3 linked regions of the Rhinolophus ferrumequinum genome follow. The protein of the gene in region 2 interacts with the protein of the main gene of each other region in a biochemical or structural test. Links are inferred from orthologs where the notes say so. Each region holds a gene or a part of one and is shown on either strand. Other genes may lie near its edges.

Region 1 (9,935 bases), on a different chromosome or scaffold from region 2:
ATATGGCCCAACACACCACATGTCCCACTTAATCTAGTTCAAACGAGTAATATAACGTGAGAAACTGCACTGTGTAATTCCTTTATTTTCTTCATATTAGTTCTTTACCAACACTACAACCATTAAGAGCACAATTCCAAGTACTGTACTTTTTAGTTCGGGGCAATCACAGTCTACAGACTCATTTACTTATATTAGACAAGATTAACCTCATTCAAAACTTACTGCAGTTTATAAATTCACATAAATACAGAAATTGATGCAATTAAACAAAAACTTCAGGATCTCATGTTTCAAATTCTTAGACTCTAACTTTTCCAGCAGGCTGTAATTACCTGCCCCATGATCATCAATGGCTATGGTTCAATTTAACTACATCAATTATCAGCCTTTTATATCCTTGAAGAGAACGTTAAGTGAAAATTACAATTTCTTACCAAGTTTTAGGGTTTTCCAAATTTCAATGTTTCCCCCCCATTCCCCCTTTCAGTTAGACATTTCGAATAAACTAATAACCACATCTCACCTGCAACATTCAATAGCAATCACTTGATGTATAAAATTTTAATTATGCCCCCAGTTATTAAGACACAAAAAAAGGCTGCCTATCAATCTGTCACAAGTTAGAAATACTACATTTAAGAATTAACACGAGGGTTTCAAGTTTCCTCCAGTTTAGGCATTTATACCTTTGTGCTTGTCTTGTTTCAGGATGTTATAGCATTGATAATATTTGTATTACCCATGTATGTACCTTAAAATGTAAAACACTAAGAAATTTATAATGGAACTATGGGAATTTTAAAAGCAACTAAAATGTTCTTAAGATGTGTCTGTCAACTTCATTTCTAGAGATACATCTACTAAAGTGAAACAGAGATCTTTATACTTTAGTTACATTTTTAATTCAAAAATCTCTCTACACCATCAGGAGCCTATGTCATAGCACCTTTGCTCATCTGCTTTAAGTAAAATGTCGAATTTTACTTTGAATAGTTAATTTTTTTTATCACCTTATGTTTCCCATACATCTTTGGTAAAAGCTCCATTATACGATATGGCCAAAGCATGATGGACCAATACTGTCCAACTATATACCATGATATCCCGCTCAATTTTAGTTGTCAGACACCCTCATAAAACCCACATCTTTTCCTGTATACTGCCTTTACATTTCTGAAATTCCCTAAGTTTAATTCCTTGAGGATCTCTAAAATTAATCCTTAAGGCTACATAAGAACCAGATGCTGCTTCACAATTTTCTATCAGGCATTAACATTTGGTTCAAAGTATCATTTATCATAGTGGTCTCAATAATCTAGTTACCAGTCCTAACCAGTTCAGCAAGTAATCTTGTTCGGATCTGGTATCAGTGAGCACACTGCTTATCCTTGAAGAAAAATAATTTTACATTCATTGTCATCTGTAAGTTCTTTTTCTTCATCCAATGTCCCCTTTGTCATTCCTTAAGTCTACACACATTCATTCATCACATTTCCTTCCTTAAAGAAGATAGTATATTACTGAACCAACAGGATATCTGACTTACTATTTGCATGAGTTAATTCTACAATCAAACAGAATTAAATACTTTTATAAAACTCTTCCAGTGTTCTAATTCATGGAGGTGTGGATCACTAAACTATAAAAAGAAAGACTTTATCTTCAATCAGTTGCTGTAATGTGAAAACAGGAATGTGTGTATTTCCAACTAGGTAAAAGGTGCATATAAAATTTGAATTGTTAAATGTTTCATTAATGAACAAAGTAAACATTCTAGTAATTTAAAAACTATTGGTCTTAGACATTGAAACATGGTAAAAGTATATATTCCAGTTTTGCCCAAGTCACTTAAAATATCTACAAATATTTTGACTGTGTGTGGGTGGATACACCATTATTGCTCCATTTTCTGGAAAGTCTTTTTAAAGTTAGAAAAGAGGGAAAACACAGCAAAATTGCTAACTTTGCAGTGACAAAAATCTGTGTCCTTAGACGGGTTACAATTTTATATTTTTATGCAGCGTTAAGTTAGCTATGTAATGGGGAACTTGAGTTTTATCCCTACTCATGCATGATGTATGTTTCAGAATTTAATAGCTGACATTTCAAAGAACTTCTTATATTACCTGTTTAACATACTGATGTGCAACTGGAACATATTACAATATTACTCACTTGCCACTGTGGGCTGAGTTTTCTATACTGGTCTTAGATATAAAAGGTCACATTTGAAATTACTAAGTTAAAGTTGTAACTCATAAGGGAGGGGGGAAAGGCCTTAAATATAAAAGACAAACGGCAGTTTGATTAAGCAATAATTTTCAGTTTACTAGATGAAACAGACTTGCAACATAGTCTGCATGAATGCAAAATAAGCCATCTACAGCAAGTGATAAGGAAACTGGGCAAAAAGGAAAAAAGCATACATTGGAAGGAAAGATTCTGTCAAAATAAAAAAATCATACCATTATTATAAAGGACTTTACCAAGAACTGCTATATTTCCCCCATCCCATTTGCTGGAAGTCAACAAGAGCATCTAGCACTTTGTGTTCATGTCAAATATCAGATCAGAGCATCCTACCGCAAAGCAAAAAAAAAAAGAAAAAAGAAACAAAAAGGAAATCCCTAATCCCCCCCAAACTGTAGAAGAGCAACTCCAGAGTTCAAATTCAAAAGAAGAGAAAGTGGCAATTGAAAGAGGTGATGGTGGAGATAATCCTATGAATGGGTTTTTGATTTCTCTCCTTCCGGGGGATGGGTGGAGAACACTCATTAAGATTTGTAGTTAGAGGTTAACCATGTGAGCCCCTCATAGAGTCCATCCCCTGAGGTGGCACAGGAGGGCTGCACATACCAGTTCCTGTCCCGAATCCGGGTCAGGCCCAGTTTCTCCTGGATCTCGTGGGGTTTCATGGCATCAGGCAGGTCCTGCTTGTTGGCGAAGATGAGGATTATGGCGTCCCTCATCTCCCGGTCATTGATAATGCGGTGCAGCTCCTGGCGGGCCTCGTCGATGCGGTCGCGGTCGGCGCAGTCCACCACGAAGATCAGACCCTGGGTCCCGGTGTAGTAATGCCGCCAGAGCGGCCGGATCTTGTCCTGGCCGCCCACATCCCACACGTTGAACTTGACGTTTTTATAAGTCACCGTCTCCACGTTGAAACCCACGGTGGGGATGGTGGTCACTGACTGGCCCAGCTTCAACTTGTACAGGATTGTTGTCTTGCCGGCCGCGTCCAGGCCCAACATGAGGATCCGCATTTCCTTGTTCCCGAAGATCTTGGATAGCACCTTCCCCATCGCGTCGGAGGAGCCGGGGCCGGGGGCATTCAGGTGTCCCAAGTCCCCTCTGCCAACAACGCCGCCGCCGCGAAACCGAAACGAAGCCTCCCAGCCGCGAGGGCGCCCGTGAGGCCTGCGTGGGAGTTGCCTCCTCGGGACAGAGGCCCGGGCCCACCGCTCACTCGGGCATCACCGACCACACAACTTGATTTCTCCAGTCGCCGCTGCCGCCGGGGCCCTGAGTCTACGCCGGGAGAGCCGCCGCCCTGCTGAGGCGAGGCGCGGCCCGGCCCGGAACTGCCCTTCCCCCCGCGAGCGCCGCGCGAGCGCCGCTGCGATTCCCGCTCCTCCGCCTTCTCCTCACTCAGCCGCGGGAGACTGCGACCCTGTGGCCCGCCCGCCGGTCCGCGAACGCCGGGCTCACCACCGACCCAGGCCACCCGAGGCAGCGAGGCTCCGGCGCCTCGTCAGGTCATTGATCCTCGCGGGAACTCGGTGCGCTGCCTGCAGAGACACAGAGAGGGAAAAGGGAATTACAGCCGGAGCTCCAGAGGGGAGCGGTGGTCCAGGTGGCCTGCCTTTCCAGCTCGGCCCGGGAGGTTACCTCCAGCCGCCGCCCCGAGCGCGGGCTCCCTCCGGCCTCCACCGCCTCCTCCCAGCTCTGCCGCCGCCGCCACCGGAAAAGGCGCCGAGGAAACCGCCTCACTTCCCCTCCCGAGCACGCAGGCGCAGCACAGGCCGACCGTTCGGACAAGAGCGACCTCTGTAAGGAGAGCGGCCCGCGCGCCAAGCGTCATTGGCGCCACGAGCAGAGGGGGCGGGGCTACGGCGGCTCGGGAGGGCCTGCAGGTGCGGCCAGCCCCCGGCCCGAGTCTCGCGCGGACTCGGACTCTTGCCCGCTTGTGGCTATTCTAGCGTCTCCTCCCTTTTTTGCTGTCTTCCGCGCTTTCTCCTCCAACACCTCTCGAACCGGAGAAGCAAAAACCCCAGGGAGCTGCCCAGGGCGCGGCCCGCGGGCAGCCCGCTCGCACGCCGAACGCCTCCCTCATGCTGCTGCCAGGTGTCTTCTCAGAACTCGCTGCCTGCCAGATCCGCTGAGAATTCCCTCCATCCCGTCCCAACCTTCGCGCTCACTCGGGCTCCCAGGGAAGCCCTATCCGCTGCTTTTACCTTCCCCCCACCTCTCCTTGGCTTTCTTTATTCCTCGTGCTCTGTGGGTTTCCTGCAAGACACGTGGGAGACAACTGTTTCGTATGGAATCTGCCAGTCAATGCGGTGCTTTTACCGGCTTGGGTTTGCTCTGAAGCCCTTTGAGTATTTGAGCCTTTATACATCTCGTCAGGACCAGCCCACGTTTCTTAAAAATTATAGTATTATCAAGAGTTCCTGTACCTTGCCGCACTTTAAACTTTTTAGAAGGTGATAACTTTTCGTATGTAAATATCTCCTCCTTTTAGTGTATTAGTAGCTGCTTATCCACCCACCCATTCTTTAAGAGGCATGGACGATATAATCTTAGCATACGATTTAGAATCAGGTAGAGACTACTTCTGTGGCCTGGATCTAGGCATTTAACCTTGCGAAGTTTGTTATGTGTAAACAGTGTAATACTGGCTTTGCTCTCTCCACCCCATTTGAGGGTTAAATAATATTTGTGGAAGACTTTAGGAAACCTTTTTATATCATAGTGATAAAGAGGCTTAAAATGAGGTGAAAGCTTAAAATAAATGAACCAAGGGGAGGAAAAACGAAATTTTTTTAAAGGAAGATGGTAAAATGGCATATGGTAACATACTTTTTATTTAAGAAAATACTTATAATTTAAGTATTTAACATAATTTAATAAAATTTGATAATGGTAGATCATGCCTGAAATAAACTTACTGTGTTTATTTCCGGCAGTTATTACCACGTTTCCCGGAAAATAAGACCTAACCGGACAATTAGCTCTAATGAGTCTTTTGGAGCAAAAATTAATATAAGACCCAGTCTTATTTTACTTATAAGACCGGGTCTATATAATATAATACCATGACTGGGTCTTACATTAATTTTCGCTCCAAAAGATGCATTAGAGCTGATTGTCGGGCTAGATCTTATTTTCGGGGAAACAGTAATATTCAGACAATGATTTAATATACTTTCTCTGTTAATATGGTCGCTTTACACTTGAGTAAACTGGGCTTTCCAAGAGTCTAAATGGCTTTCCCAAGGCCTCACAGCAACTGACTGATAGGGAGGCAGCTAGATTCAGAGTCCTGTGCTATAGAGCCCAAGCCACAGAGCTATACTTCTCTAGGAAGAGACCCCTAGCAAGGAGCCTCCCATTCCTTCCATCTACTTGTGGATGGTCCTCCTGGACGTTTGCCCTGGTGATTTTGCTCTCAGCTGAGGCAAACAGGAAGACCAAACCCTGCCTTTCTCCTGTGTCCTAGCATCCAGAATGGTCAAATGGACGCTTGCTTGGGGATGGAAATATTACCTATGTCTCTGTCGCCCCCACCTGCCCCAAAGGAGAACTTCACAGGACCACAGCCCTTGGAGAGCACCCCAAGGCCAGTGCCCGCTGGAAAAGAGGATCAGGAGCAGTACTTCCCAAAGCATCCACGAACAAGGAACAGAGTGTCATTATTTTTTTTAACTTCCAATCTGTGGGGGACTAATGCTTTTTGTAAAATGCAATAAAAATGAATTAGTAAAAAAAAAATGAAATGCTGCTCTAACGATGTGACCATGTCAAATCGCTATAAAAGCTTACTCTCAAGCTCTCAGTAAGTACTTCCTGTACCCATCTTCATATGGACAGGCAACCAATAGCATGGGTCCAGGGACCACACTTGGAATAGCACTGGTCCAAACGGCCACTGGGCAAAAGACTGGCCTGAGGTCACATTCCCTGGGGCATGGCCTCAGCAGAGGGCAAGGACTTCTATGCCATTCTGAGACTTGGGTCCTGCTGCTGACTTGGGGTGCAGCTCTGGGCGTCCAGCTGGAGCAGGGGGGTAAATTAGGCCTCAGAGACAGTGCCCAGAAGTCAGGCTCTGGCCTCTGCCCTCCCAGTCTATGAGACAGACCTGCAGGAAGGCTGATGCTATCCAAGCCAAGGAGGCCTCTGGAGACACAGCTCCTTCCCCTGACAAGCTGGGAAGTAGGGGGCAGGGGCTTGTAACCTGATGTGGAGGCAAGGATGAAGGACACCCTGGGTGTGATCCCAAAATTGGACAGCCACATCACCTCGCCACTCTGAGCTTCCTCTTCCACAAACGTAGAAAAGGAGAGTGTTGTATGCTCTCTGAGTCCCTTGTAAATATAACATGCTGGGCTTGTCCAGGAAGATAGATCCACTGCCTGCCCTTACGGAGGGGAAGCAAGGCTAATGCACTGCCAAGAGGACAAATCAGACTGAGCACAATGGAAATGGGCATTAGTTGTGCATTGTAGGTTGCCCTCAGGACTTCTTCAGGGATAAGGAGAATCCAGGGCTGGAGAGACTAGAAAAGGACGAGAGAGCAAATATCCATTTGGGTCAATTTAATTGCTGAGATTGGACATCAAGCCTAGCACTGTTTCTCAGCAACGAAGGCAGAGAAGCAAGTATGTTAAGTCACAGAGAACCTGTTATTATAAAAGAGGCATGGCTACCAATTCCCCAGAGGATACAAACTTTCTCCTGGCCCTAAATTTTAAGAGTTTTTCACAGGCCACCTTATTTAGGGGACAGTAAGGACATAGCAGCTTCCACAAGTTTTATGACAAAAGCAGAAGTAGTTTTCATGTGGCTGTTTCTTCCAACAACCTTGGAGGAAAGCCAAGGGCACACCAGATATAGCACAGTGGCTCAGCAACGTTCTTAGTTTTTAGACAAGAAATGAACTTGAGCATATTAGAAGTCAAATGTGCTAAGTACATTACACAGGAGACAAGACCATATTAAAGTGCACTTGGTTTCCTCTTGGCTGGGTCCCTGGTGAACACAAAAACATGCCTTTCCTTTCCCATGTGTGGACTGACTCGCTCACCTCTGGGCCGACAGTGGACACCCACGCCTGCCTGATTCCCCCACCCTGGTTCAGGGGCACTCATATGAAAAGGCCAATTTAGCCATTCCTATGATTAGCCACTGTAGGGCAGCACCGAACAAGAATCCGGAACACTTAAAAATTTCCTTTGTAAGCAAAGCCATCCGCATGTATATGCAATTCTACCAGTCTACTAATTCAAAAATCCAATATTCAGCTGCTTTCACAAATATTTCAAAGGTGTAAAAATAAAAATGCTACTTCAATAATAGGAATTATTTCTCAGATTCTCGTTAATTTTTTTAAGTGTCAATCTTTTATGAGAGCAAAGAAATGCTAACAGTTTTTGAAAAGAAACTGTGCTAAATGTTTCACATGTACCATTTCATTTAATCTTACAAGAACTCTGTAAGGTAGCGTCATTATCCCCACCATGCATATAAAAAAACACGCAACTCAAGTGCTTTGCCTAAGGTCACACAGCCCTATTTAGTGGCAGAGTGGGATTTGAATGAACTCAGACATTCTGACACAGACGACTTAACCTTGCATCCCAAAAGACATTTGGGGTCTCACGGCTGCAAGAGGTCTCTGGTTCACACTCCTTCCGAAGCAGACATTATCTTCCCCATCCTAGCCTCAGCCCGATGCCCAGCAAAGCTTTCCCTTGCTTTTCTTACTTTGAGCTAAAACTGTCTCAAAGTTGACCAGAGTTCTTCCCTCCAGAGCTACTTGGAATAAGTTGAGTTTCTCTTCCATATAAAGCCCCTCCAATTTTTGAAAAATTAACAATAGCGTTAATTGTTCCTCTCCACCCCTATTGCAGGAACGGGGTCATTATCCCAATTTACAAATATGTTCCATCCCTTTCCTACTGGTTAATGAAAGTGCTAGAATCTTCTGACACAGAAGTTTCACAACAGATCAGTAACCTTAACTCACTAACCAGCACCTGAGACCACGATGCCATTACTAAACCAGACTTAAAAGCTATTGAAAGTAATGCATGATCATGGTTTTTAAAAATCCAAGCAATATGGAAAAAGATAAACTGAAATGGAAAAAAAATCTCTCTCCCATCCTGACTAACCCCTTGCCTCAGAGGTAATCACTGTTGTTACTGTTGCATCCTTCCAGAATTTTTCTTTACACAGATAAACATATGCAGGTGAATCTTTTAGGATTATATTATGTATACTAGTCTGCAACTTGCCTTTTGCACTTGGCAAGTTATCCCATATATCTTTCAGTAGTAGCATTCCTGTTAATGGCTGCATGAAACCTTCCTCTCATGCTCATTTTTTTGCCTCTTACAAATAATGCTTCAGTAAAATCGTACATATATTTCTGGATGGATTCCTATAAGTGAAATTTCTGGGTGGAAAGTAAGAGCATTTAACATTCTGAGATAGAACCCAATTACACTTCTTAAAAAGTTGTAATAATTTACACTCACAGCAACAGTCCATTTTCCAAGTGTTGTCAACATGGCTTATTATCCAATCGTTAAATCTTCCTTCAGTACTTGAAGACAGTTCTTCAGTCATTCAATGTTTAGTATGCACCTTCTACTTGTCAAGCACTGTGGGAAGAGCAAGGTTTGCTCGAATCCAGTAATTCCCAGCCCTAACCATCACACTCTTCAGGAGTTTGTTAAATTGCAGATTCCCAGCCAGCCACCTCCCAGGAGGTGCTGGTTCAGTGGCCTGTGGAGGAGCCCAGGAAGCTGTTTTGTTATAGTTTGTGTCATTCTTTTTTTGTTTTTTTTTAAATCAGATTTCTAGGTGACTGAGCTAGATGATAAGCAGCCAAAAGTAGAGAAAATATTTTCACTTCTTCCTCTGGGCAAAAACGCTTTCTGGAAATGAAGGTCTTAGGAACAGTCTGGATCCACTTCTCTGGTTGTCACACAGCAGCCTAGCAGACTGTCCCCCCGTCTTTTCTTAAGGAAAGAATAGTCTGAGACTGTGCATCTCTGGGACTGTATATTTCTCTCTATTTAGTCTCCAAAAGAGGGTTTGCGGCCAATGATGAATAAGATTCCCCACGGAGGTGGGGGGGGCAGAACCCCATGGAGAGCCCTGATCCAAGCCAGGCAGAACCCCATGGAGACCCCCGATGAGCTCCCTTAAAAAGATTTGGGAAGAGGCTTTGTCTCTCCTTCCCCCTGCCTGGGAAAAGCGGCTGCTGGCTCTGACTTTTCCCTTTCACCTGATTGGGAGAAAAGTCTTGAGAGTGATAAGATTAAGCTCTCTGCTCAGCTCTGTGAAACAATTTCAACATATGATATATGTCCCTTAAAAGAGTTGCATACCTCACCTCAAGGACTTTCTGCTTAGGCTGTTTGAAGATCAACATAATTGGTTTGGGTTGTTTCTATAAGGTGATAAGTGAGTCTCACAGACCTTCCCAAAAACACTGCTACTCCCCTGTATACTTATCAATAAAAACCTCCAGTCGGCTCAAATCTGGGCTCCAGTCTTTCAGAACTGTGAGACCCCTGGCCTTCTGAGATTTAACTGCGTTAAGTCTCTATATGTTTCTTTCTTAAAACTTAACCCAATGCCGCCTCTTCTCGTACCCTCACTGCCTTTGTTGCGCTGGACGCGACATTCTCCAAAGCAAAATA
Region 2 (10,828 bases):
GATAGGCCTGAGGAGTGATGCCACTGGCCAGGGAGTGGTTTTGTCATAGCCTTTGGCTGTGGAGTAGAAGGAAAAGATCTGGGAATGAAGCCCAGTGGCCAGGAAGATAAGGGACAGGGCAGCAGCTGCTGGGCCTGCAGGCCCCTCCCTACCCACAGCAGTGTGGGCAAAACAGGTATCAGGCCCCAGGCAGGGAAAGGGAGCCCCAGCCAGAGGGCAGGTGGCCAGGGATGTCCCATGTCCATTCACCCCCAACCTGGGACTGCCCTTCCCAATGTCTTTCTTGATAGCCAGGGTGGGCTGGGAGCGGCTCACTGCTCCTCTAGCCAGGAGGGCTTCTCAGCTCCTGGAGGCCGCAGCTTGATGTTGAACTGCTGCAGGGTCTGCTCCAATTGTTTCTGGTTCCCAGCAAAGTAGGCGGACACAGCATTGTGGAAGAGCAGCAGCTGCTTGTGCATCACCTTGATCTGGGGGTCCAGAGGGTCAGCTGAGCCTGGACTCAGATGCCCTTCTTGAGGGGTTGAGCCTGAGCCCAGACCAGAGGCACATGGACTCTGCTCTGATGGTGCTTTTCTTGTGGGGGCCGAACACCACCAAGGGAGTCAAAGGAGAGGGTCAATCTGATGGGAGAAACCTAACATGATTGGCAAGGCCTCGGGTTCTGGTACCCCAGCTCAGGGGGTGATTTTTCTGTTATGATCCTGGGAGCAGCAGCCAAATTCTTCAACAGAAAAGGGCCAGGAGTCAGAGGGAGGGAGACCTGGAAAAGTCCAGGAGTTGAGGGGGCTAGGGGAAGATCGCACTCCTTAGCCAGGCTGCGTTTCCCCAGCCAATGATGGGGAAGGTTGGGGGAGGGTCAGTATTACAGATGGAAAGATGGGCTGAGGTCAAAGGGGTGGGGCTGGCACCTTGTTTTCTTCCAGGAACTTGAGCTTGATGGCCACATCTCCTCGCAGCTTCTCGTATTTGTCCCGATGGGCCTGGAAAGTGGCCTGGGCACTCTCGAGTCGACCACGCGTCCCTGCATCCCGGGGGCCTAGGCTCAGCTCCTCTAAGTCTGTTCGGTAGGCATCATATTCCAGCCTGGGGAGGGGGTTATATAGGCTCATCTCCACCCCCATGTCCTCCACACACTCTCTTCTTTCCTTCCTGAATTCTTATGCCCCTAATCACAACTTCCACCCAAGCCAGCCAACTCCCAAAACCCTAGGCCCTGCCAGTGCCCACACCTGGCAGCCTCATACTGTTTGACAGTCATGAGTGTGTCTTCCATGGTTTTGGTGACCAATGTGTTGATGCTAGAGACAAAGAAGTTCACAGCCCCTAGCAGTGTTTCTCCATTCTTGCACAGCAGCTTCTGTGTCTCTGCATTGTAGCCAAATTCCTCCTGAGGGTAGAAAGGAGGGACAGGCCTTGAGAAATAGTCCCTACCTGACTGGAGCTGTAGGGCCCTTTAGTCCCCTTTTCCCCAGGAAGGAAGCAGTCATCAAAACTGAAACAACCAAGGACTGCCTCCAGCAAGGCTTTCTTAGCCAGAAAGTTAGTGGGGCCACCCTGGGGATGCCTGGGGTGGGAATGTGGGGGTGAGGTTCTCAGATAAGTTCACAGGACTAGAACAAGGAAAGCCAGTGCAGCAGGCAAGGGAGAAGCTCTGATTAGGCTGAGCACCAAAGGCATTCTCGCCAATGCAGAGAAGGGTTACTTGTGAGGCACCTAGTGTGCCCCCGCCCCCTGCCCCTCCGACTTTGGACCTCCGTACAAACCCTTAGGCTGCCTCCACAGGTGAGTGCTGCTGGGGACAGGGCTGGGCTCACCCTGGAGGGATTCTCCCTCTGGGCTGCAGGAGGGATGGAGGGAGGGAGGCTGAGGGGTGACTGCCTGGGAGGGCCTGGGCCCAGTCCCCCCCAACTTTCTTTGGCCTGGCTGAGGCACCTGAAGCTCTGGGGACTTCTGGCTGAGGTCAGCAAAGGCGTCACCTAGTGCATGCTGGGTCTGCAGCAGGCTGTAGAGGTGGGCTGTCAGTGCCCGGCCCAGCTGCAGGACACTCTCATACTTGCGCTTCGTCTCACGCAGCAACTCAATCTGCAGCTCTAGCTCCAGGTCCACAGTCCGGGAGCCTCGGCCAAATCGCTCTGATAACAGCTGCTTTGTGCACTGATTGGGAAGTGGGGGAATAGGTCAGAGACCCTAGCACCCTGCTCCCCGAACAGGTATCTACCCCAGCATACCCAGGCTGGAATATAGATGGACTATTAGGATCTGGGAGAAGGCCAAAAGGTACCCAGAGGGAGTTTGGGGGAAGGGAGAGCTGCTTGAAGCCCACCTTGTATGTGTTGATGCCCCATTTCTTGACGATGTCAAACTTCTCTCCAGCGATGCCCCGAGCCACCTCATCTCCGGAGCCAGCAGGAGTGGCACTGTGAGATGGATGGCGGCCAGACCCTAAAGGACCAAGTTCTCTGACTCTAGCCTCTCTCAGATACAACCAGACGCCTCTGGGGCTCCACCCATACTTCCTTCCCAGCACCTGAACATGACTTCCCTGAGGGAGCAGAAGCTGGAGACAGATTCTCCTACTTACTAGGAGCAGCTCATACCTTGTGCCCTGAGACCCAAATCCCAAAAACATCTGGCCTCCTTCTGAGGTGGTGGTGGGGTTGGAGGGGGAGGGAAGAGGGAGCTGCTGGTGTACAGGGGCAGAGGAAACAAGAAAATAAGATGAGTGTGGGGCGGGAGGTCAAGGATGGTGGGTCCTGATAACAGGCAACCTAGTTGACATTCCCATGTGGAACCCTAGTCCGTGTGAGATTCAGGGCTGCTTGTCCCTCTAAACTTTAGAGTCTAAAGTAAAACTCTGAAAAGCCTCATAAATCTCCAAATCAGCCCAAGCTCCAGAGCACAGAGTTCTTAACTTGACTTAGGTGGTAGCAGCAGAGAAATGGCACATCTCAAGGGAAATGGCAAGTAGAGGCAGTTGAACAACCCTGGGAACTGGTCTTGGGCTGAGACAGTCCACAGGATTCACACTAGCAGAGGTTTCCAAGATCTCCAGAGGTAACTCAAGCTTTCTTACACATATCCTATGCTCCCCAGAACCATTCCTCTCCCCTTCTCCACTCAAGCTTCCTGTCCTGTTCTGATCATTCATACCTGTGGGGATGAGTCCATCACCAGAGCCCCCATAGCCACCAGACACAATGCTAGTTTCATTGAGGTTGGGTCCTGACACCATCACCTGCTGGAGGTCCTATAGGCCAGAGAAGAGGGGGGGGCTTCAGGAACATAGGGACAGCTGAAGCATTTTGGGGGTGAGAACAAACTTGGATTGAAGCATCACAGAGAGAGCACACAAAGGAAGTCTGCACAGAATCAGAACAAAAATTTGTAAAAAGAAGGGAGTTAGATAAGTTAGGAAAGGCTACTGGAATAGGCCAGGGTTTATGAGTTGGGATTCCTAAATTGAACAATAAGGAGAAGAATCAAACAGATGCACCTGTTCCAGCCCATCATCCTCAGGAAGCTGCCCAGCTTCGCCGTTCCCATGGATGGGGATCTCCATTGTAGCTGCCTTCCCTAGGATCCCGTCCGTCATGGCTAGGGAAGGGACTGGAGTCAATGTCTCCACCCCAGCGCCCTGCAAAGCCCAACACAGATAGTTCTGGAAATTGGCCAGGACCACAGAAGAGAAATGTCTCCCCTACCGTTTCTGAGGTTTTAGAGGTTGTCCCAGGGGTAGAGTGTTCTGGAGTGTGGCTACCACTCCTTCCCTCAGATAGTGCGAGTATATGTACCTCTTCCCTCCAAGGTGCATATTTTTACACATGCTCAGGTGTCTTCTCATGACTCTCCAACTTCACCAGGACTCCGATGATTATTCATGCATTCGATCATTCAACAGACATTTAATGAGTGCCTACTATGTGTCATGCACTATTTGAGGCCGTGCAACACAGCAGTGAACCAGACAAAGACTGTGTTCTCCTGAAGCTCACCCCCACCCAGGTGTTTCTCCCCATCAGGAGATGAACCCCTTTCCAAGGCTCAGTATGTTCTCCATCGCTTAGCCTTTCAACACCCCTTTAGTGTTTCTTCCCCTTTCCTTCAGACCGTTCCCCCCTTCTCCATACCATGCACCTTCTCTTCCTCGGGCTCTTCCCACCAGGCCTTAGTTGATTCAGTTGGTTTATGTTCCCAGCCTCTGGGAAAGCCTCTTTTCCCCAGGACATAGGTGATGGCTTCCAAAGTCGGTTATGTTTCCCTAGGTGTGTTTCCCCCACCCCCCACCCCAATACACCTGGGCATCAGGTGTGTCCTCATCCTTTCCCAGGCTCAGAGGTATCTTGCCCTCAAGACAGGTTCATGCATTCAACTTCCCCTTGCCCAAGTATGGCCCTCTCACCTGAGGACAGGCCGCTCTTCCCCTCAGGGCGCCAGGCCCGGGCCGCGGGGGGACCTCGGGCTCCAGCTCCCGTCGCGATCCTAGCAGCAGGTCAGGGACTCGGAGGAAGTGACGTCCTCTCCCGGGCAGAAGAAGCCAGCCACGTCGCAGATTATAAGGGCGGAGGTGACGTTAGCAGCCGGGGGCAGGACGATCCTTGAGTCAACCCCTCAGTCCCTGGGGATGGACGACAGATAACTTCCGGGGCGTTACCGAGAAGCTGTAACGGAAGTGACGCAGGACGTGAGCTTGTGGCGGGATGGAGCAGCAGCAGCAGCAGCAGCAGCAGCTGAGAAACGTGAGTGGCAGCTCATGTGGCTTCAAAGCCCTACATTCAACTGTCCTCGCCGTCTGCATGGCGGGAACCCCAAAAAGCTAGGGATCCGAGGGCTAGGGACATCGGGCTGTGGTGCGCGGTCCTGGTAAACTTCAAGGCGCGGCCTTGAATTCAGGTGTGGGCCCCCTTATAGCTGAGTTCTTGGTCCCCTTCTCTCCTAGTTGCGGGACTTCCTGTTGGTCTACAATCGGATGACGGAACTCTGCTTCCAGCGCTGCGTACCCAGCCTGCACCACCGAGCCCTGGATGCCGAGGAGGTGGGGGACCGAGTAGGGGATTACTCTTCATCCTCAGAGTTAACCGTAATCTGCTTCCTTCCTTCCTCCACTGCCTTTGGCCAGGGCCTTTCCATGTCCCTCGCCCCTAGGTTGGAGATGGGAAGGAAGGAAACGGATCTGACAGGACACCTTTGGCCCCTGTTTCCACCCTGTCTTCCTTCCAGGAAGCCTGTCTGCATAGCTGTGCTGGGAAGCTGATCCATTCCAACCATCGCCTCATGGCTGCTTATGTGCAGCTCATGCCTGCCCTGGTACAGCGCCGCATCGCAGACTACGAGGCTGCCTCAGCTGTGCCAGGTGTTGCTCCTGAACAGCCTGGAACCTCGCCATCAGGCAGCTAGCCATCCCCAACCCCAGGAAGGGAGGCACTGGATGGCCCCTCAAATTGAAGGAGCCAGTGGACTGAGTGCCTACTATGTGTCATGCACTATTTGAGGCCATGCAACACAGCAGTGAACGAGACAAAGACTGTGTTCTCCTGAAGCTTATCCCCACCCATGTGTTTCTCCCCATCAGGAGATGAACCCCTTTCCAGGGACCTTGCTTGGGCTGGGTCCAGCCTGTATATAGAAAGTGAGGGCTTGCCTGAGAGCTGGGTACTGTGGCTCCAGGAAGAGTTAATAAACCTGCTTTTATTCTGTTTGGTTTATATTTTGGGCAGGGAAGCTTTGCCTACTTTATTAGCATCATCTTTTATTCTGTCAGTTAGTGAATATCTGCTGGCTTTAGCCCTGTCTGCAGAGAAAGTGCCTTCTTTGTATGGACGCAAACCTTAGCATTCCCAGGCACCTGGTTAAAGCAAGGTCTGTGGGTACAATTTTAAGGTTGGTAATAGCAACGGGAAATTGGTTCCTGCCCAGATGACAGAGAAAATGGGAGCTCTGTCTAGCTCTTCTTCACATAAATCTGACTTTAATGGCTCACTTGTGAGCCAGGTGTGCATTCATTTATAGCTATTTTCTTGTGGACTGTGTTTTACAGGAAGGAATTCTGCCAGATTTAGGGAAAGGAGGAGATGTCTAAGGACAGTAGATCAAGAAATCACAGGGTTTTTAGGCACTACCTACTGGGAAATCAGTAGCTCCAGGACAGAGATGAAACCTGTAAGAATTCAGGGGTGTTCTGGAACTTCAGCCATTTCCCCAAGTTGTTACTTTCTCACTATTTCCTGTCTTCCTGAATGAGCAGTAAAACCTTTAAGCAAAGAAGGTCTGTGTGCTTGTCTTCAGGGGCAGTAAGAAAGGGGAAAACTTAGGCCGAATTCTGCAATACTGTCAGACTTGAGGAAGAGAAACCCAAGGGAGAAGTAGATGGTAGTGATTATGGGGAAAAAAAGGGATAAAATTAAATCTTCAGGCTCTTTAATGTTACCTTAATGTCTCAGTGCTTATCTATAATCTTCTAATTCCAGCTCTTCTACCCTCTACCCCATGTTGTTCCCACTGTGCCTGTTCTGTGATTTCTATCTAATTCCAGTCTATCCATTCTTTCCTCATTATTGCCCCCTTGTGGAATTTACTTCTGCATTCAGCAGTATAAATGGCCTATCATTCCATCACCCCATTTTCTTGCTGCCCTTGTGTCCTTTTTGTATCGTTCCAGCTGTTTAATCTTTTCTGTTCCTCCATTCAAATTGCTAGAGAAAAACACAGCTGTATAATAAATGCGACTAAATATTAAAGGTCTCCAACTTCAACCAAGCTCTTACTACCAATAAGCAATCCTTGTGGGTTCCGGTCTATTTGCTCTCCTTAATCACCAAGGCAGTTATTTACACCTTCACTGCTCTCCTTAATCCCCCATCTCACCCTCCGCTATCTCCCATCAGGTGACCATGTCCTTTCATTTTTTACAGAGGAAATGGAAGCTCATAGATAATTGGCACCCACAATAATAAAAATAACTTCTTACAGTCACCCTCAAAGCACACGTTTTCTCCCTGTACAGATCGGGAAGTTGAAATTCTCTATGAGCAGACATTGTATTAAAATACCGATCTGCCTTTAAAATCCATGTTTGTTTGTTTTTTACTTTTTTTGCTATACCAGTTTACCTCACAAAATAATATCTATTGAGCCCCCACTTTGTACAGGTTCTGATGTTGGTATATGTCATGCTTCATCTTAGTTAATCTTTATGAAAAAACTACAAGTAAAAGGTATTATCCCCACTTAACAGATGAGGAAGCAAGAATCCAGAAGATACTAGAAGCATATCTTACGCACACTTACCTATTGAGAAAAGTAACTCCAATCAGCTTTTTGCCTTTCTAGGGTTGGTTTTCCTGCCAGGTGGCTTCAGAATATAATTGCCTACTCCTTTGCAAAGTCTGATTCCTTTGAGGCTATTCAAGTGTACCACCGTCTCTACTTGTCCTTAGAAACTACTGCTCTTCTACTTTCCACTAAATAGCCAGCCCTTGGTCTTCGTATCTACCCGTCGATACTTAATGTTTACATGGGCACTCCATTCAGTATTTTGGTCTCTTAGCTTTTGACCCAATCGCCAATGATTTTCATTCTCTTAGCCACCCGTTCCCATGGTTGTGTCCTAGCCATTGTCTTCGCCTCACACTGCTGTATCTCCAAAACACTATTACTTGCATCTTATTCATCTACCATATTCTTCCCACTTTATTTATGGAACTATTCCTCTACTGTCTTTGATTTCACTGGAGCAGTTAGGTCATTGCTTCTACCTTCTCTCCATTAACACCTTCCTGTCTTTAGATTCCTATTTGGCTTAAATTCTACTGATCCTCTTGGAATAAGCTGCATTTGCTTAACTCATCTCTCTTTTTTTGACTCTTAGATAAAATGAAACTTTTGTACTTGCATTTGGAGAACTAAAAGCCGCCCAAGGACATCACTACAGATCAGATTTATATCACTGAATCCATGGTTACCAGCTTCAAGTAGAGCCTCAGCCCCTATAATCCTACTGGATTTTTCTAGTCGTCTCCCTGCTTGCTGAAATGAGTATTTCAAACCAATATTCTTAAGTCTCTTATTAGCTTACCCCCCCCACACACACACACCATTCTCTTCACTTCTTGCAGATAATCATATCTTTCTTCATAGACAAAAGTAAAAGTTGTCAGTTGGGAATTCTCACAACATCTGGCCACCAAACTTGGGTCACGCATCCACATCTGCATCATTCTCTTCCTCTCCTGTAGTGATTACTTTTAAGGCCTATTACTCTTAAGGCCTATTCCTTTGCTCTGAATCTTAGTTCTTCCTTCCTTTAGAATCTCTGATTTTTCCCCACTTTACTAAATTCTCGTCAGTGTTTAAACTTGCTAAAGACTCTCCTGGGCCAGCCCGGTGGCTCAGGCGGTTGGAGCTCCGTGCTCCTAACACCGAAGGCTGCTGGTTCAATTCCCACATGGGCCAGTGGGCTCTCAACCACAAGGTTGCCGGTTTGACTCCTTGAGTCCCACAAGGGACAGTGGGCTCCGCCCCTGCAACTAAGATTGAACACAGCACCTTGAGCTGAGCTGCCACTGATGGCTCGGTTGGAGCACAGGCTCTCAACCACAAGGTTGCCGGATGGACTCCCGCAAGGGATGGTGGGCTGCGCCCCCTGCAACTAACAACGGCAACTGGACCTGGAGCTGAACTGTGCCCTCCACAGCTACGATTGAAAGGACAACAACTTGACTTGGAAAAAAATCCTGGAAGTAAACACTGTTCCCCAACAAAGTCCTGTTCCCCTTCCCCAATAAAATCTTTTTTTAAAAAAAAAAGACTCTCCTGATAGAACAAACCACTCTGTACCTCACCCCTGCCCCCAGCTATCCTAATTTTTTTCTACTTTACAGCTAAACTCAAAACAGTTGGATACTTTGGCCCTCTCCATCCCATTCTTCTACCCGACCTGTTTTGACTTCTGGAAGCTTTATTTTGTTGAAATGGTTCTTAACTGAGGTCACCCTGGCTTACTGAGGATATGGCCTTCATATCCCTGAATCAAGTCCAGGCTTACTTCCCTTCTCAGTAGCCTCTCGTACTATTAACTACTAATAGTTCCTCATCATCGATAGTCTTCCACTGGCGGCTGCGATTCCACTCATACTTTTACTACTACCTCTGGCTGTAGCTTAGCCTCCTCTGCAGGCCTCCCCACCTCCAACTTTTAAATCTAAGTTTCTCTAGTTTCTGCTCTTTCTCAGTCTGTTTTTTCTAGTATTGTTTCTTCACCACTCTGAGCTTTAGTTACGGATGACTCCCAGATCTCTCCTCCAAGCTATTTGATTGACATCTCCATTTAGGGATCTCAAAAACACACCCAATTCAACATGTTTCCTCATAAACTTTCCTCCTACACCTAGTACTCATCCAATTGCAGAAGCTGGAAACCTCACTCCTTCCGTCACTCAATTGTGAAATCTTTACAGTTTACATCTCTAAATACCCCTTTAGATTTTGTCTCCTCTCCATCTTCATAGTCTTTCACCAGGATTATTGCAATTGCTGCTTCTCCCTATACCCATTTTTGCACCCCTCCAATCTGTTCTCCATTCTTAAGCCAGAAAACACAAACCGATGCCTAAAACTTTGCAATAGCTTCGCACTCATAAGATAAAAGCTTGACATTCTACACAAGCCCTACCAGGCCCTGCATGATCCAGCTCCTGCCTACCTCAGCTTTATCTTGTTAGTGACTCAGACACTGGGCTATTAGTACTGTATTGAACTGAACCACACCTCACTCTGCCTCTGTTCTGACCCCACTGGCCTTTGGATTCCTTCAACCTGTCATACATTGTCCCATCTCCAGGCCTTTGCACTTGCTGCTTCTTGCCTTGCAATGCTTTCCCACTACTTTACCTACTGAACTACTCATTCTTGAGTACTTAGTGCAAATACTCTCCTCAATTCTTTGCAGACTCTGGCTCCCATAATTCTTCTTGTTTTTGGCATTAGCACTTCTAACAGTTGCTCATGAGGTCAGGGTCCTTGTTTGTATTGCTCACCATTGTATCCTTATCACAGTGCCTGGCACATAATATGTGTTCGATAAATATTTGTTGAATGAACATCTTTCAATAGCCTCCCTGCTCAATCTACTATTTACATAACAAGAGAAAGGTTTTTAATTAAAAGAGACAGAAGTGAATCTACATTTAATCTCTGCTCTGTTTTTTTTTTCCATAGCACTATCACATGTTATATAGTTTATTCATTTTTATTATTTGTGTCCCCCACTAGAATATAAGCTCCATAAATCAGGTGTTTTTGCCAATGTTGTTTTGTACACTGATGGAACCAAACACCTAAAGTAGTGTCCAAAATAGTTGATGCTCAATAAATATTTGTTGGGTGAATGAAGGCGAGAGAATAGTTCCAGAGCAAAGGTCTAGAGCGCGACTTTAGAGAGAGGGGGCATACCTTTTATTGGTAACAGGAAGGAGGGAGGAATGGATAAAAGCAGATCTAAGTATTTTTTTATATGGTTTCGGAGTAATGAGAGAGTTCCTTTTAAATAGCATGTATGATGGTTTTACCCAGTTACTTAAACACTAATCAAGATGTTGTTGTGAAAGTATTTTTATAGATGTGGTTAACATCTACAATTAATTCACTTTAAGAAAATTACCCTCGATAATGTGGGTGGGCTTCATCCAAACAATTGAAGGCCTTAAGAGCAAAAACAGATTTCCCTGAGAAGAAATTGTGCCTCAAGACTACAGCATTAACTCCTGCCTGAGTTTCTAGCATGCAGCCCTATCCTTCAGATTTTGGACTTGCCAGCCCCCACAATCATGTGAAC
Region 3 (10,810 bases), on a different chromosome or scaffold from region 2:
TCGTGCCCAGCCCTAACTAAACCAAGCTTCCCAGCTCCAGGATGAACTCCCTATTCCTTGGCCCTTTGGACTAGTGGGCAAGCTGTCACTATTTCAAACTTCCTGGTCCCTCTTCAGCCTGGATGTGTATCCCCAGAGAATTGGGGCAGCAGTGGACCAGACTCAGATTGTGCTGATGGAGAAAACAGCTGGTCCTTGTGTGTGTTTAGAAATTAACTGAACTCCCTTTGGAGTCACATTTACTCCTAGCTCTGCACTAGGAGCATAATATTAAAACAGAGAAGTCTTATTTTTAAAGATTTTCACCACTTCCCCAACTTTTGCACCTCTCAATCCCAACCTCTTCCTGCCTCTCCCCCTCACACACACACCACCAGAAGATGTTGTCCCAACTCTTCCAGTGTCTCTAGGGCCCAAGGGGTAAAGCGGAGTTAATGGCATTTGGCAGAAAATCCCACCCTACGTTGAAGACTCCTCCCAGTTCAACACAGTGAAGAAAGAAAAGATTAAGAGAAGGGGCAGTAGAAACCAGAACCTGTCCCTTCCCACAGAAGAGGCACAGAAATTTCCAGGCAGTGAAAACGGCATCATCTCTTGCCAGAAGGCCACCAGCTCCCACTGGGGGGGAGCCGCATGATCACTTGTTTCTCCTCGGGACTGAAATGCAAGATAGTCAGGATGGCTGTGAGTGTCTGCTGGCGGCCCAGGCTGTCGGGCAAGGTCAGGAAGCGGTAGATGATGTTTTTGAGGTACTCGAGGTTGGCTCCCTCCCGGCTCTGGTCCCTGAAGTTCTTTTCAATGTGGCTCTGCAGGACCCCGACCTCCTCACGATGCCGCTCGCCCTCCTCCAGCAGCCGCTCCTGCAGCTGACGGACCTCGACCTCCAGCCTGTGTTTCTGTTTCCTCAGCAACGTGATCTCCACCTCCTTGCGGGCCAACTGCTCAGCGTACAGGAAGAAAGTAGGCTCGTTGGCCGCAGCTAGTTGCAGGGCTTGGGTCAGGCTCTCCGAGGAAGTGACCTCGGCCGGGTCCCCAGGACCTCCGCCACCCACAGGGCTTCTGCGTCCCGGCAGCCCGGAGGACAAGGCCACGGAGCGCAGTTGCTCCAGCTCCAGGTCCTTCTCGGCCAGCACGGCCAGCGCCCGGTCGCGCTGCCTGTGCAGTTCCTCCTCCAGTTTCAGCGTGCGGTCCCTGAATTCCAGCTGGCTCCGCTCCAGCTCCTGCCGGTGGTGATGCTGTAGCCGGGCCAGCTCCTGCTTCCAGTCCTCGGCCTCCTGCTGGTGTTGGCGCTCAAGCTCCTCGCAGGACAGACGCAGGGAAATATACTTCTCCTTGAGCTCTGCAAGCTGTTCCTGGGCTTCCTCCAGCTCCTTGGCCAGGTTGCCGTCTTTGCTGTTCTTGCTCTTGAGGACGACCTGGGCCCTCACCTTGTACCTCTCAAACTCTTCCTTCAGCTGTTTCAGCTCCTGTTGGTAGTAGAGCACGGTAGCCTTCTCCCCGTCAGCGGCCTCAGAGCTGGGCATTATCTCCAGGTCGCAGAGCTTCTCCACATCCAAGGTCACCTGGCTTTTCCTGGTCGCCACCTGCAGTAGCCTCTTCAGCTTCTCCATCTTGTCCTTCAGGACATTGACGTCCAGACTGGACTCCTCTCCATGGCTGTCTAGAGGGGACCGGCTGGAGGCTGCGAGAGCCAGCGTCTTGTTCTCCAGGTCCAGCTGCATGATGCGCTCCTTCAGCTTCTGGATGGCCAGCTGGTCCTTCTGCTTGGCTTTCTCATATGTGCCCAGCAGTTCCGACACCTCAGATATTTGGTTCTCCAGGGCTGCCACCCTCTGCTCTTCCAGCTGAGATTGCTGACGTCGTTGATCCTCTGCGAGGGCTGCCTGTAAAACAAGGAAACAGATGGAAATGCATCCAGAAACGCCACAAAGCGCTATGGCAAACTTTGAGAGCACCAGAGAGGACAGCCAAAGAGTCACAGAATGGGGATGGCCTGGCAAGAACGGGAACTGGGGATTTTTTGGTTGATCTGGGAGCTAACAAAAGTTCCTGTAACTTGCTTGCGTTCTGCTCACAGACACATGTTATACCAAACAATTAAGAACCTCTGCATACCTGCTCCTATTCTGGTTTCGTACTTCCATTGTCTCCTATCATACACCAAACTCACGTATAAAGAGTGCTTTCTTCATTTATCATGTGTTTCCCCAAATCTTATTATGGAATCATCTCTTCCAATATTCCTGGAAGATCAAAACTGAGTTGGACCTCTCTCCACACTGAATGGAGGCACTATAAAAATAGAATACCTTTCCAGAGTTGGCAAAATCTTGGCTGAAAGCCGTTACAAAAGGTCATTTCCTCTGAGAAAACTCCCTTTTCCCCCTTCAGCCATCCTTCCTATAGGCATATACCACTACCTACACATAGGCATACAGCTCCAGTCAGACACACGACCTTTTCACTGCATGTCTGCCACAGTACTGCTTCGCAGAGCACAGCGGGTAAGATGCCAATGCTAGATCTGTCTGGCTCCAACCCAGCCTACACTTAGAAACTCTACATCCTGTTGGAAACATGCTCTGTGGATACTGTCAACACCACATAGAACAGAATTTCCAACTCACCAATAAAACATTTTGCATCAAAAATTGACAGTGCAGCCACTGAGATCTATCAAAGGCGGAAAAACAAATATTTCCCATTTCAGGTTTAAATGACTTTTTGAAGGAGATGGAGATAATTACCTTCCTCATTTCCTGCTGCAACTGAGCCTGGAAATGGCTCTTAAGGCAGGCAGCTTCTTCCTGCAGCTGCTGCAGCCGGGGGTCTGGCTGATTCTTCTCATCCTGGAGAGCCTGCAGCTGACCTTTGAGCTCCTCCACCTCACGGGTCAGCTGTCGGGTCTGCAGTTCAAACCCTTCCATCTGACCAGCTGCGTATGCCCGCCCTGCCAGGGCTTCTCGGGTCTCTTCCAACCGAAGCTCCAAGTCTTGGCGCTGGGTCCTCTCCTCCTGCAGCAGTTTCTGAAGCTCACGCAGCATCAAGGCATGGTCACTCTGCTCCTGGGCCCGATCGTGCTGCTGTGTGATAAGTCGGGCTTTGGTTTCCGCTATCTGCTCCTGCAGCCCCTTCAATTCTCCCTCCAGACGGCCCCTCTCTTCCTCTGCCTTTTTACTGGCATCCTCTAAGTCCTGTTTCATCTTCTTCTTGTCAGCCAGGTAAGAAGCTTCCATGCGGGACTTCTCCTGGGTGACTGTAGCCAAAGCGCTGGTCAAAGTAGCCAACTGAGTCTTCAGCTGGTGCAATCGTTTGTCCACCTCCCCACCTGCAGACGGTCCATCCCCACTGCTACTGCTAACACCACTCTCCGACCCGCTGGCCTCTTCCGACTTTGGAGGTGGTGGTCCACGGGCCAGTCGGTCATCTTCTACCCCAAACTCACCCTTGGTGCTAGTGAGACTGGCGACAGTATCCAAGCTAGTGGCGGTCCCAGTGCTATCCTCGCTGTGAGTGGAGCATCGGTCATCCACGTTGTCAGGACAGGTGAGGCCTGGAGGCGGGCCATCTGCCAGGCCCACATCCGCCTCTTGGGATACTGACAGCACCTTGATGCTGGCCTCTAGCGCCTCTTTCTCTTTCAGTAAGCTTTTATAGGCGCGAACCACATCCTTGAGACGTGCCTGGTACTGGAAGAGCTGCTTCTTCTGCGTCTCAATGGTCTCCAGCAGGTCCTTTTTGCTGGGGCCACCCCCGAAATTCATTCCAAACTTCTCCATGAGGATTCAGAACGGGTGGTTCCACGTCAGCGTTGGGGCAGCCCGGGAGACGGTCGCGGGGACGCTGGCGGGCGTTGTGGTCCCCGCGGCCGCACACCCGCTCCTCCCAGTTGTCCGAGACCGACGCGGGGAGGCGGGGCAGCGGGCAGAAGCGCCACCGGGTCCGGGGTACGGAAGGCGGGGGCGGTTCCCACCTAGAGGCGGGGTGACGCGGGCAAGAGGGGAGCACACAGCCAGGGCGCCCCCGCCCTGTCCCAGAAGCTGCCCCGCGCTCCCGCCCGCGCCGGCCACAGCAGCCCCTGCGGGACCTCGGCCCACTGTCCGCCAGGGGTTTAAGCGGAGCGCAGCCCCTTCGCGACTTCCGAACTACAGCGGCCCGACAAGGGCGCTTCCGGGTCCGCTGGAAGTGACGACAGCAAGACGCCGCAGGCTCCGCCCCAGTGGCCAGAGGAGCGCGGGGCCACCCCAGCCGGGGAGTGCTCGGCCGCGGCCTGTGGGGAACCTGGCGAGGCTTTCTCTCCCCGGGAAGAGCAGCACAAGCCAAGCTAAGGACGCGAGTGATGTTGATTTCGTGAGGTTCACCCGAGCTTGCCTTCAGGCTACGATCAGCGAGGGACAGGGGGCGACGTCGCACTGAGTCCTTACTGAACAGCTCGCGACGTGTCTCCACTATTTGGGAGCTCAGTACCTTTGTCCCTAAAGAGCAACAATTAAGACTCTCATTCAAACCACGAACACTGCAACCCTTGCTAGTACAGTGTTTGGCACCTGGAAGGCGTATAGTATAATAATTATTAGCACCCTTCCTGAGTTCTGCTGAGTTAATGCAACAAATGTTTGTAAAGGGCATCCGTATGGCCAGGACGTCGGTCTTTAGTGCCAACTATATTCCAGGAGCTTTGCAAGAGTTTTGGTATGTAGTCATTACAATAATTCTGCTCAGTGGGTATTGTCAGCACTGTTTTACAGATATGGAAACATGAAGCACAGAGACGTAAGTAACATGCCCAAGGTCGCACAGCTAAGTTTAGGGATGCTATCCAGATCAATCCAACTCTCAACATACCAAATGCTGTGCCAGGTGATCACTATGATGAGACAAGGTCCTGCCCTCACGGAGTTCCCATCTAGTGAAGAACCAGGCATGCAAACACAAGTCCTGCCATCGTACCGGTATGCATAAGTATATTCAAAGTGATGTGGAGGAAGTCCTGTCTAGGGGAGGCAGAGAAGGCTCTCAGAGAAAATACTTTGGGATGTGAAGGATGAGTAGTGACTACCCATCTAACTAGAGATCAGGGAAACAAGCATTCCAGGCAGAGGGAAAAGATTACGAGGACTCCTGTGGCATCAGGGAGGCTGGCTCACCTGGAAAGCATTGAGAAGCATCTCGAGGCAGTAGTTTAGGGTATGTGAAGGAGGTGGCAACAGACGGGGCTGGCCTAGGAGGTAGGGATCCAAATTAAGGCATTAGATTTTATCTTTGGTGATAAGAAGACACTAAAGGATTTTAATCACAAGAGTGGTGTCATCAAGACTTGTATGCCAGGGTGGCAATAGCAAGGGGCAGGAGAACTGTGAGGAGACTGTTGCAGTCATGGAGAAGAGATGGTACTGAAATATGGCGGTGACAACAGTGATAGAAAGAAAGAGGCTAATAAAAGAGCTGAAGATGTAGAACTGACCTGACTTGTTCATCGCTAGTTGTGTTATTATATTGGGACTCTTTTAAATGTATTCTTCGACCTTGTAAAAGTCATCCTAGGAATGCAAGTGTGATTGAAGAGTAAAGTCATGCACTCATACCTGATGCCCAAAGTCTGTTCTCTTTACAGACTTGCAGGTCTGGATGGGGCAGGCCCTGGAGCTCTGTTCAGACCCAGTTTCTTAGTGGCCCAGGAAACATCCAGCTGTTTTATACAAAACATTCAGATACAGTATCTCATCATTTTAATCTTTACCATAACCTCATGAGATAGGACAAATATCAGTCTCTTTTTATAGATAAGAAAATGACAGCTTGAGAGGATTGTTGAAGGCAAGCCTTCAAAAAAAGGCAGAACTGAGATTTGAACGGAGGCCTGGAACAATGGCATACAGTAGGCATTCAATATTTGTTGACTGAGTGAATGAAGGTTCTCTGCTTCCCAGCTCACCTCACCATGTCCAGTCCATAAGCAACTTGGCTCCAGAACAGGCAAAACACCTGTCCACGCTCCACTGAGCAACCTACCAGTCCAGTTCAACCTAACAAGCATTTGTTAAGCATAAGCCTGGCATGATCCAGTTTTTGCCATAGAAGATACTTAAATGAATTCCAATCTGGCTCTTTCCCCTCCAACGCTAAGATGAATGGGGAAATTACTGGAGAAGCTCTTCGGGCCTAAGGAGGCAACCACATCCTCACATCCTGGATAGGTGTGCATTAATAATGCAGGCTGCCAGGTCTGTGGCAAAGAGAGGAAGGACTTCAGAAAGGCTGTCTGGGTCCAGACTGAAAAGCTTTGCTTCCTTGCACACCCGGGCGAGTCTACGGTTCCTGAACCACCTACTGTGCTCCAAGCCCCTCCCTCACTGGGAGCTGCGGGGGCAAAAGGGAGGTCTTAAGACGACTGCACGGAGCTTACGCACCTCTAAGAGGGTGGTGCACACAGTCGAGGCTGCCAGTTAGAAAGAACTAAACCGGAGACCAGAGTGAGCTGGACGCAACAAACCAAAGCCCTGCGGCGGGCCACGGAACATGGGGGTGGGGGCCGCTGCGGAGCACTGAAGGCTTTCCTCCGCCCCCCTCTGACTGCCGGTTCAACAGCCACAGATGTGCCAGGCGTGCTAGAAACGGGGAGACCCTGGCCCTTTCCCTCTTTAAAACCGGCGCGGGACCCAGCCAGGCTGCGGAGATTCGCTCAGCTTCGGCTTCTCCCGGAGCCCGAGGCGCGGGGCGGGGCGGGGGGCGGAGCTAGGAGCGGAGCGCGATGGGGGCGGGCCCGCCGTGACGTAGGGCGGGCCGCGACGCGCGGAGGCGGTGGCGGCACCTCCCACTGCTGCTGCGCCCCATCCCCCCGCGGCCGGCCGGTTCCAGCCTGCACCCGGTGTCCGTGTCCGTGCCCCCTCCCCGGGCCCCGCCATGGGCCTCACCGTGTCCGCGCTCTTTTCGCGGATCTTCGGGAAGAAGCAGATGCGGATCCTTATGGGTGAGGCAGATCAAGCGCGCGGCCCGGACGGGAGCGCCGGCCCCCGCGCAGCCCTCCCGCCCCCGCGTCCCTCCAGGCCAGCTCACCCCGCTTTCTGACTCTGAGTCACCCACCTTCTAAACCCCTGGGGCCACTGCTCTCGGGCGGGTCACAGTCTGCAGCGCCGCTCCCGGGGCCTGAAACCGGGAGCTGCGGGCCTGGGTGGGGTGACGCTCCCTCCGCCCCAGCCCGGATGGTAAGAAGGGAGGATTCCGCCCTTGGAGGCCACTTTTAAAAGGAGCGCGGTCCTCCTCCTGTACCCCTTACACCCCCAGTCCTCGCCCGCTTCAGGGGCAGCAGTTGGCGCTCATCACCCGGACTGCCCTTAAGGCCCGGAAGGTAGATAACAGCGCGCACCTGGAAGCTCTCGGGCTCTCCGCCCCTGTCACCGTCAGCTGTCCTGGCCTCTCCCCTTCCCTGGTCTCTAGGGGGCTCCCTCGCTCCCATCTCCATCCCTATGCCCCTCTTCTTTGCAGTTGGCTTGGATGCAGCTGGCAAGACCACAATCCTGTACAAATTGAAGTTGGGGGAGATTGTCACCACCATCCCCACCATAGGTGAGTCAGAGGAGGTGAGATTGGGAGGAGCTGGAGCGTGGCGGCCAGCTCAGGGTCTCCTCCTCATTCTGCGTCTCCGTGCTGGGACCTGACACCAGATACAGCTACCTGAGAAGTGGGTCACATTATCTTTACCTGCTGGATGGTGTGAGGAGGGGTGGATGTGACCTAGCCCCGCCCTGCCAGTTGACTGCCAGTCTTCTGGACTTCTCTTCCCTTAGACCTTGATCATTGCCTTCTGATTTGTGTCCCTGCTGAATGCACTGTAGTTTAGTGAGTTCCTTCCAATCACGACTTTTTCCTCATATTTTTTTCCAATTATCTTCAGGCTTCAATGTGGAAACAGTGGAATACAAGAACATCTGTTTCACAGTCTGGGACGTGGGAGGCCAGGACAAGATTCGACCTCTGTGGCGGCACTACTTCCAGAACACTCAGGTGGGGGGCGAGGGTGTCTCCCCAACCCCAGGGGAGGAGGTGATAGCATTAGGAAAATTGTTGGCCTAGGCTGGGCCCCTGGGCCAGGAAAAAGCCTTACCCCTCCCTAACCCCCCTTTTGTAAGGTAAGCCTCTACTCATCCTTCAGAACTGGCCTTCGTCTTCTGAGACTCAGCCACCTTTGGCATCTTCTGAGAAGCAGGGTTCTGGGTCCAGGCTGAGTTAGCTCTCATCACATGTCTCCCTGTTCCCATGCATGTCTTCTATCTAGACTGCTTGTCTGAGGGCAGAAGCTGTATGTATCCTTTGCAGGGTGTCACCACTTTGTGCCAGGATGTCTGCAGAGCCTTAGTGGAAGTTTACTAGATGAGAAGGGTTTAGACACAATTAAAGAGAGAAAGCCAGACTCGGGTATGTCCCAGGTGGGAGTGATTGCTCCTCCTTCCTTCCTTCCCACCCAGGGCCTCATCTTCGTGGTGGACAGTAATGACCGAGAGCGGGTCCAGGAATCTGCTGATGAACTCCAGAAAATGGTGAGCACCCAGGGCCCTGGGAACTGAGCCCTTAGCTTGGAAACAGAGGTCGCTGTGCTGGTGTGAATGTCAGGAAATGCCTCATGGGCCTTGAATGTACAGTGCTCTTGGTGGACACAGGTACATGGAGAATCTCACCCTGTTTTGAGTTTGGGTCAGGTAAAAAGTATAGGATTGACTTTTTCCTTGAATTCTCATGTCTTCACATCTGAGTCTGAGAAGTTGGGGAGAGGGAAGTTATATGCGGTGGAGATAAACATCATCGTACCTTCTTGTTTTTCCATTGGGAAATTTTGTCATTTTGACTAGAACAAGTACTAGAACAAATTAGAAAAAGGTCCTTTCTGGACTTAACGCCAAAATGGTCTCCAGCTGACTTATAACTATGTCCTGTGTTCAGCGGGCGACTACACGATGTTATATTTTTCCCACAAATATGCTAGAAGGTGGGAAAAGGGGGCTCCCCTACACAGTGGGAAAGAGGGAGTCTGGAGACCCCAAAGGACCCCAGATTCTACTCCCTTGGCCTCTCTCAGCTGCAGGAGGACGAGCTGCGGGATGCGGTGCTGCTGGTGTTTGCCAACAAGCAGGACATGCCCAACGCCATGCCAGTGAGCGAGCTGACCGACAAGCTGGGCCTGCAGCACTTGCGAAGCCGTACGGTGAGGGTCTCGCCTCTCCCAAGGGAGCCACAGGCTGGGGCAGGAAGTAAAGGCACCCCCCTCCCTTTTTGTTCCCTGCTACTGACCTCTTTCTTTCTTTCGCCCCACAGTGGTACGTCCAGGCCACCTGTGCCACCCAAGGCACAGGCCTGTATGATGGGCTGGACTGGCTGTCCCATGAGCTGTCAAAGCGCTAAGCAAGCAGGGGCCAGCCCCTGCTGCCCGGAAGCTCCCGCGTGCATCCCCGGGATGCCCAGACTCCCGGACTCCTCAGGCAGTGCTCCTCCCTCCTGCTCCTCCTCCCACAGACACAGGTCTCTGCTCCTGCCCCTCCTGCCTGCATGTTCTCTCTGTCGCTGGAGCCTGGAGCCTTGCTCTCCGGGCACGGAGGGGTCTACTCTCCTGCCTGCTGGGACCTGTGGAAGGGACTTCCAGGGCCGGGGCCCCTTCTTCCAGAGGAGGAGCAGGGATCTGGGTTCACTTTTGTTTTTTCCATTTTGGGTGTACCCTTGGGCTAAGTGGGGAGGGAAAGTGAGGGCTCCAGGTGGTGCTATGATGTGGCACTGGATATTGAGTAATAAATTTGCTGTGGTTTGTACACGGTGTTGTCTGTAGCCTAGAAATGGGGCGCTGGGTTATTGGGTGCAAAGAGACAATATGGGGGAGGCTCAAAGCAGCCTGCAGGGCCAACCCCCCTCTCCCCAAGCATACACACACACATTGCTACCTTCGTCTAGCTTAGCTTCTCCCTCCTTATCCTTGAGGCTGCAAATATTTCAGGGGTTCCAGTGTAGGGAATCCCATTCCTTCCCCAATTTCAAGGGGCCTTTGCTGAGAGTAACCTTCCTTTGCATGAGGATCTACCTTCGTGCTTCTATAAACTACTTAACTCCCATTCGTATTCACCTCCTAAGTAGCCGTGGTCCTTAGTGATTACGATGCACATTAAAATTTGAGGGTGAGAGAATATTCATTAAAAAGAAGGTTCCTGAAGCACACTTGAGAAAAAGTGACTCATCAGGACTGGTCTGAGGCCCAAGAATATGCATCTTTAAAATCAGCCAGGTGGTTCTGTCGAGTAGCCTTATTTTATAAAACCGGGGATTACAGTCCCTCATTGTGTATCACTGGGACTTCCTACCTGGGAAGACCCTGCCACAGGGACTAGGAACCAGTCTGGGCAATTCTCCGAGCCTGGTTCACTGCCCATTTCCCTTTGCATCCCAGCAAAGCTTGAAACCCACCATCAACACCATTATTTCTTTCTGCCTTTCTCCCTTTTTTCATGGCAGTTTCTCCAGGTTGTGGGCTGGTTTTCTCCATGAGCTTTGTAGGAAGTGAGTCCAGAGGCTAACGGCCAGCAGACTGGGACCTGGGCTGGTATCCTGAGAGGCAGCTCTGACTGTGTGTGCAGCCGGGATGCAGCTGGGGGTTAGGACGAGGGTGCACAGGACTCTCCCCACCTGGACCATTCTCCACCCTGCCACTGAGCCAGTCCTTCTTGATTAATAATGGGAAATTTGATCCTTGCTGGTTATCTAGCCAGGGTTTCCTCACTCTCCCTGAAAAGTACCTTCTGAGACATTGTGGCTTTATCCTCCCAAGGGCCAT

What was found. The genes of interacting proteins can lie anywhere in the genome.
Region 1: the proteins of ARFIP2 (region 2) and ARF6 form a complex in vitro, tested with the Homo sapiens proteins (2 studies listed by BioGRID). The link is inferred for Rhinolophus ferrumequinum from reciprocal best matches to the Homo sapiens genes ARFIP2 and ARF6.
Region 3: the proteins of ARFIP2 (region 2) and ARF5 form a complex in vitro, tested with the Homo sapiens proteins (2 studies listed by BioGRID). The link is inferred for Rhinolophus ferrumequinum from reciprocal best matches to the Homo sapiens genes ARFIP2 and ARF5.

Annotation. Positions count from the first base shown.
Region 1 is NC_046289.1:42,165,137-42,175,071, forward strand, and holds ARF6 (ADP-ribosylation factor 6), read right to left. Parts: upstream 3,892-9,935; intron 3,792-3,891; 5' UTR 3,751-3,791; coding exon of another isoform or gene 3,335-3,750; 5' UTR 3,306-3,334; coding exon 2,778-3,305; 3' UTR 66-2,777; downstream 1-65. Other genes in the region: collagen alpha-1(I) chain, read right to left, coding at 3,335-3,750, 3,892-4,084. UniProt on the Homo sapiens protein: GTP-binding protein involved in protein trafficking that regulates endocytic recycling and cytoskeleton remodeling. GTP-bound form plays an important role in the transport of multiple palmitoylated proteins form the Golgi to the plasma membrane.
Region 2 is NC_046294.1:45,323,218-45,334,045, reverse strand, and holds the start of ARFIP2 (arfaptin-2), read right to left. Parts: upstream 4,538-10,828; 5' UTR 4,400-4,537; intron 3,635-4,399; 5' UTR 3,593-3,634; coding exon 3,494-3,592; intron 3,248-3,493; coding exon 3,151-3,247; coding exon of another isoform or gene 3,146-3,150; intron 2,490-3,145; coding exon of another isoform or gene 2,443-2,489; coding exon 2,324-2,442; intron 2,155-2,323; coding exon 1,933-2,154; intron 1,388-1,932; coding exon 1,230-1,387; intron 1,084-1,229; coding exon 909-1,083; intron 761-908; coding exon of another isoform or gene 635-760; exon of another isoform or gene 624-634; intron 621-623; coding exon of another isoform or gene 603-620; exon of another isoform or gene 478-602; intron 468-477; coding exon 312-467; 3' UTR 1-311. Other genes in the region: TIMM10B (mitochondrial import inner membrane translocase subunit Tim10 B), read left to right, coding at 4,698-4,736, 4,937-5,032, 5,218-5,394. UniProt on the Homo sapiens protein: Plays a role in constitutive metalloproteinase (MMP) secretion from the trans Golgi network. May have important functions during vesicle biogenesis at certain cargo subdomains, which could be predominantly utilized by secreted MMPs, such as MMP7 and MMP2.
Region 3 is NC_046309.1:18,178,753-18,189,562, reverse strand, and holds ARF5 (ADP-ribosylation factor 5), read left to right. Parts: upstream 1-6,775; 5' UTR 6,776-6,903; coding exon 6,904-6,970; intron 6,971-7,485; coding exon 7,486-7,566; intron 7,567-7,894; coding exon 7,895-8,004; intron 8,005-8,465; coding exon 8,466-8,537; intron 8,538-9,073; coding exon 9,074-9,199; intron 9,200-9,309; coding exon 9,310-9,396; 3' UTR 9,397-9,797; downstream 9,798-10,810. Other genes in the region: GCC1 (GRIP and coiled-coil domain-containing protein 1), read right to left, coding at 588-1,883, 2,748-3,779.